Linked DNA regions of Bombyx mori. The protein of the gene in region 1 interacts with the protein of each later gene in a biochemical or structural test. Links are inferred from orthologs where the notes say so. Each region holds a gene or a part of one and is shown on either strand. Other genes may lie near its edges.

Region 1 (3,544 bases):
CTGTTTTATCACTTGATACAATTTTTATCTTGCTATGTAATATGAAATCGTTTTTTAATAATTTTGTATTTCTTACGCATTTCTTCTAACTTATTCGTGCTATTTGATTAGCGCAACTTGTGGTTTGTCAGTGAAACGGTGAAAATCTCAGTGAAACATCGAAAATGGTATATACCGCGAACCATTTGCGATGACTTAAAAAGGAAGGTATTTAAATATACCTATTTTTTAATAGTGTAAAGTGTTATTTTCATTTTCAATAGGAATATCGCTGGTAAGTAATGTACATACATGATAAAAAATAAGACGAAAGATTTGTGTTTCGTGTTTAATTGTTAAACTCACACGAAGGTACTTGAAGTAGGCGTATACTTCAAACAGTAAATTAACACGCAGTGCGTAATTTACTACATAATTAATAATGACATAGATATTACAAATCGAATATTACCATCAGCATATTTAAATTCTCCCGCTAAGTATCACAGATAAGAAATCGGTTAAAGCGCCATCTATAAATTAGAAGATCAAAGATAAATTTTTTCTTCGTAAATGCTGATAATGAATGCTGAAAAACCCAAACCATGATGAAAAATTATAAGAAATTTTAAAATAAAAAATGTATATTAAAATTACAAACATTGAGTATTAGCTAGAATTTGAATTCGGCGCTTGTTTCCAACGTAGAACTAGCGTCACCTTGGGACACAAAACAAAAACTTTTTGGAACAAAGAGCTTTGCTAGCTAGGAAACCACTACCAGAAAATAAGGTTGTGTGGCATCTCGGTCGTACATATACACAACGTGAACGAATGAAAGAGATGCTATATAGATGTCTGCCGTCAGCAGAACCATCTTAATTTCTCGTGCAGTTGTTTCGCCTCGACCGTGTTCTAGTGCAGTGCAATCGCAGGATGGACGCCATTCGCGCTAGATAATTTTTATATAAATCAAAAAGAAAAAGCGTCGTCGCACGGGCTAGGAGCTATGGTGATATAGTGCGTAGAGTGCGATTCCGTGGTGGTGCTTCAATCCGGCGGCGGCGTGGAGGTCCTCGCGGGGCGCGGATGGCGAGCGCGGGCTCGCCCGGGGGCACCGCTCGCGCTCCGCCGCCGGCCCGATGAGAGGGGCACGCTCCAAGCACCTCGACTCGTTTTATGGGTGTTTGCGTGAGCTGCCGGCGCCGAGAGCGGAAGATCCCAGAAAAGCGGTCGGTGCCGGGAGTGGTTGGGCCCGCTAAGGGCGCGGCGGCGGAGCTGCTGCCCAGGCCAGTGAATCGCTTTACAGCCATGGCAAACTCCATGTCAAATATCAAGATGACCAACCCGATAAAGAATATGGTCAGCAAGCGCAGGATACGCTACACCAAGCACGGATTCAACCTGGACTTAGCCTGTATCCTTTTTGTGTAGTGTCTGTAAAAGTTAATGTTACGTTGGAGTTCTGTGTGCTAGCCTCAGTTGAAGGTGAGTACTTTCCGTTCCGAAACTGAAGTTTAAGCTTCTAAAATTATTTCATTTATTTCATATATCTTTTAGTCATGTCATAAGTGAAACAATCCAATTTACTTCGATATGTGATGTTCCTCTCGGCTCTCTCAAGGGCACTCATTATAACCTATAAAAACACATCCGTAAATTCTCCCGATAATGTAACGATGTTTCAGGTTATAGAAGAGAAGGGCATTTGTAAAAAAATACATTTACATTAAATTATGTAGGAGTGTGTCTTGAAAAGCTATTTGAATAGTCTTAGGTTACAAGGCCTCGAGCTTACACCTATAAGAGTACTCATTCGCCGATCATGAATCTTGGCCTTGTAATTTTTTTCCAAAATAACACAATAATATTTAAAATTGTGCGAAAAACAAATAATAAACGAACCAGAAATGTTTTTGTTCAAAACTGTTAAAATCTGGCATGGCAACAACCAACATAACCTATAACTTATACATAGGTATTATGTTCTATATGATTACTCCAACTGTTTACATAGTAACTATCAGATAGTGGAGTGTGCTCTGTTAGAAATGTGTATCTAAGTTTCATGTAATGAAGACAGTAGATTTGCTATGACCATATGCAATTACTTTATATGAGTACTAGTATTTAACCATGTGTTCGTACACATAACATTGTTATGTATCAATGTGTGAGAATAAAGCAATGTTTACACTAATTATGCTTTTGAAGCACATTTGCACATTTGCATACTAATGGCAGGTTTAAAAGTGGACTGTTGCATCTTAATGCATTGCTTTGACATGTGTGGGCAAGATAGATTGTGCGTCATGGAATACCTGGTTATAGTGTTTGTGTATTAATTATTCATACACATTAATGTAATATGATAATGAAAGCTTTGAATTACCTTTATTAATGTAATAAAAATATAGGGCAATTTAAAGGCTTTTATTTTGAAGATATTCAAAATATGTGTGTACATATAGTGTGGTAGTGTACTTTAAAGAACTACACTATCGACAGTATGCTGAGAATTTTATTAAAAAAAAATGACTGTGAGTAGATTAAAATTTAGAAAAAAGAAAAACATTTAAACAAAACTTATTTGAAAATAAATATGAATAAAAATTACAAATTAAACTTCATGAACAGTTAAAAATATATGATGGATATGGATTTTTTTTAATTTGCATTATAGTAGATTATGTCTGGTATGGTTGGTGGTATGGCGGCCGTGTCTGTAATCAGTACACAGACCAACAAATTAGCTGATGCCATAGATTGGCAAACAGCTACACCTGCCCATGGACATACTTTATAACTTTATCTAAAGTTGGAATCTTTAATCCCGTAAGAGTATTACATGCCACGTCGAGTGTTTGTAGAAAACAGTAGTAGAAGAACTGTCTTTGTAGGTACAGAATTTCCTATTCTGTATCTATACAGAAAACCCTATTTCATCCCTGCGGAACTGGTGATCTTAATATTTTTTATTTAAACAAAATAAATATCTATATTATAATAATATCAGAAATTATGATTTAAGATATAATTTAATTGTAATTAGAGAAAATCTGTTGATATCTTTGTTTGTGAACTGAAATTTTGTAGTTACTTTTGTAGCTCATGGCAAGGTTCATGGTGAGTTTCTATAATAGTACCATTAGCGTACGCCAGGTGGCGCACAATAAATGTGCGATCCAGTTTGATAGAGAATAAAACAATATTAATGTTGATTAAATGAATCAATTAACAACTTGCATAATATAGTTAATTTTAAAATATTTGGATTATCCATTCAGGACTTTACCACATGCCTCAAGCCTATGTTCATTGGTGACCACTTGACACTAGGTACGCGGTGATTTCGTCTTTCACCCACCACCCTATAAACATCTTAACAGACACATAAAGGTATAGGTAACCTATAGGTAAAAAGCCAATGTTTTGGGAACGTGTTTTGTATAGGCAAATCATATCTAACGAAATATAAAAAATAATGACAAAATATATTTAATATTAGTCTGAATAATAATTCTCGATATCAGAAGCACAAGGTCGGATCTATTTTATGCAAAAA
Region 2 (2,762 bases), on another chromosome or scaffold:
GGGTTAAACGAGCACGTGGATGCAGGATCCCAAAGAATTCGGAATGTGAATGTCGTCACATATTTTTTTGCTTAGATTTGCACCAAGAACATAAATGCCACTCACCTTGACATATAAGTTTTAAGTCTCAGTTTTATAGTGCATGGGCTACTCCGCCCTTCGAATCGAAACGCATTACTGCTCCGCCGCAGAAACAGGCGCGGTAGTTACATCTGCACGTGCGAACTCACAAGGCATTCTAACAACAGTTAAAAGAAGGTAGGTCTGAGACTCAATTGTACCATAGGTAGCGGCTTGGCTCTGCCCCTGGCATTGCTGACGTCCATGAGCGACGGTGACCACTTAACATCAGGTGGACCGTATGCTCGTTTGCCTACAAAACCAATAAATAAAAAAAAAAGTTTGACTCTAAACCGGAACACATGGCAGAGAAAGGCGGGGTGGTCGTACCTACCCATGCAGGCTCATAAGACGCCCTAATACCCGAATTTTGATACATTATAAAAATAAGATCAAAGTTTACTGCTCAAATAAAACTCGGAACCACAGAATACTGTAATTTATTACAGATCTAAAACAAAATTTATTTTAAAACAAATTGGTAAATAGATACATTATAATGAAACTAGTCTTCCGTGGTTGTCTAACAATTAAAACAAACAAAAAAATAACCTATTTATTTATCACTTAGTTATTCTACAACAAAGTATAACATAAATGACTTGGTCGCGTAATCACGTGGCAATCATATTTTTTCACAATAATTTTGCTATGATTCTCGCTTAGCTTACTTTTATTTTACAAAGAAATTTCTCATTTAACTAATAATTTACAGAACCACATAACTGGTAGTCTTTCGTTTATGGTCGTAATTTTTTTTTAAACCATAGATAATTGTTTTTTTTTGTTATGACAGCGAAGCACTGACACATCAATTCTTGTACACATAAGTCCAATTCTGGAGTCCTTTTAATATTGTTGTTTCAGAGAATTGTTTTCCGTTCGTGATATCAAGTTTACAGAGATATAGAAATTGCATCAGTAATTCTTTTAATGCTAATCTTCTTAGGGTCTAATTTCAGAATGAAGTGTTCTGGTTAAGTTCGATGACCTTAGTGGTTGAGTCGTGTGCGGTCAGGGGCGGGGGGCGCGGTCACGCGGGAGGGGCGGGGGGTGCGGTCTCGTCGGGCTTGCTCTCAAGGGAGAAGGGCGGGATGCGGCAGTCGAACGTGTAGCCGTCTTCGCGCTCCATCCTAAACGTGCCCCTGAAAATCGAATTTTATTACTTCTATTATTTTTTTTCTTAGATGGGTGGACGAGCTCACAGCCCACCTGGTGTTAAATGGTTACTGGAGCCCATAGACATCTACAACGTAAATGCGCCATCCACCTTGAGATATAAGTTCTAGGTCTCAGTATAGTTACAACGGCTGCCCCACCCTTCAAACCGAAACGCATTACTGCTTCAAGGCACAAATAAGCAATTTCACTAAAATACCACTGTCCCTTAATTATGAGGTTACAGAGAGATACATTTAAAGTTTACAAAGATGTCGGTACCACATATGGCCGCTGGGGGCCTGCAGGCTGACGTGGCTGCTGTACTGGAAGGCGGGGGCGTGCCTCGCGAGCACGGGCTCCTGCCCCACCACGCCGCGGCCCCGCACCGTCTCCAGGGTGCCGCTGAGCGAGAAGATGCGCCAGTGTCGCTCGCGGAGCTGGACGGCCTGCGCGCCGAGGTTCTCCAACCGGATGCAGTAGCGCCACTGTCAACGCAACCATTTTCGAATACTCATTTTGAAATTCGATGTTTTTTTTTTTAAGAGATTTTATGACCTGGTAACTAAGACCTTTAGGTCATGTCTTCTTTTATTCTACATTCTTATTTTTATGAATAATGATAATATGGACTGAAATGAAATGAAGATGATTAATTTGAGTGATGAAACATTAATCAACTGGGATGAATTAAAATGAAATGAGATGAAATGATATGGGATGAAATATAATCTCAGTAAAACTGTCTTTTTTTTCATTCTTTATTAGAGCCATACGTTCATGGTTTTTTTCGACCACGGCGACCAAATTTTTCAGTTTAATAACTTAAAAGCTAATGTCCGCGCCTCTCATGCGCTCTAATATGGCTACAGTAGCCTATCTTGTTCTTAAACGTGCGCAAACAGAAGCTACACGTAAGAACACCACCCACGAAGTTGTAAAAAATGGTGGAAGGCGGTCTATTTTTCAATTTATTTCGTCTGTCGTCCAGTTCGCGCCTCCTGTCGTTTTCAAAGACATGCACGCCCTGCTGTACCAAGCGTCTCCACTCCAAACGATTCTGTGCTTGAGCTTCCCAACGAGAAGTGTCAATGTTGCATTTCTTCATATGCCTCTTCTGAACATCCTTATACCTTAAGAATTGGCCGCCACTTTTTCGCTTGCCAGTCTGGAGTTCAGAGTAGAAGATGCGCTTTGTTATCCTCTCGTCGGACATCCTCATCACATGGCCGCACCAGCGCAACTGACGCCGCATTAAATATGCCTCTATACCGCCAATACCGGGCCATACACCTATTAGGTTAAGTCATTTACTGAGATTTTTTCAATGAACTTCTTGGGCGATTCCGAGAAGTTACGTCCAGTGGCTTTGTTTCATTTTCCCACATTTGTGCACTTTCACATATATTAATCAGTTAATAAACCACAATTGATGTGCCTTTGGAAAACATACAGCATTGTATTATGAAGAAGCAGTGTGTACT

What was found.
Region 2: the proteins of phosphatidylinositol 3,4,5-trisphosphate 3-phosphatase and dual-specificity protein phosphatase PTEN (region 1) and polymerase delta-interacting protein 2 form a complex in vitro, tested with the Homo sapiens proteins (2 studies listed by BioGRID). The link is inferred for Bombyx mori from reciprocal best matches to the Homo sapiens genes PTEN and POLDIP2.

What each region holds. Positions count from the first base shown.
Region 1 is NC_085109.1:13,025,431-13,028,974, forward strand, and holds the start of phosphatidylinositol 3,4,5-trisphosphate 3-phosphatase and dual-specificity protein phosphatase PTEN, read left to right. Parts: upstream 1-744; 5' UTR 745-1,158; coding exon 1,159-1,396; intron 1,397-3,544. UniProt on the Homo sapiens protein: Dual-specificity protein phosphatase, dephosphorylating tyrosine-, serine- and threonine-phosphorylated proteins.
Region 2 is NC_085122.1:9,902,029-9,904,790, reverse strand, and holds the end of polymerase delta-interacting protein 2, read right to left. Parts: intron 1,767-2,762; coding exon 1,561-1,766; intron 1,266-1,560; coding exon 1,154-1,265; 3' UTR 545-1,153; downstream 1-544. UniProt on the Homo sapiens protein: Involved in DNA damage tolerance by regulating translesion synthesis (TLS) of templates carrying DNA damage lesions such as 8oxoG and abasic sites.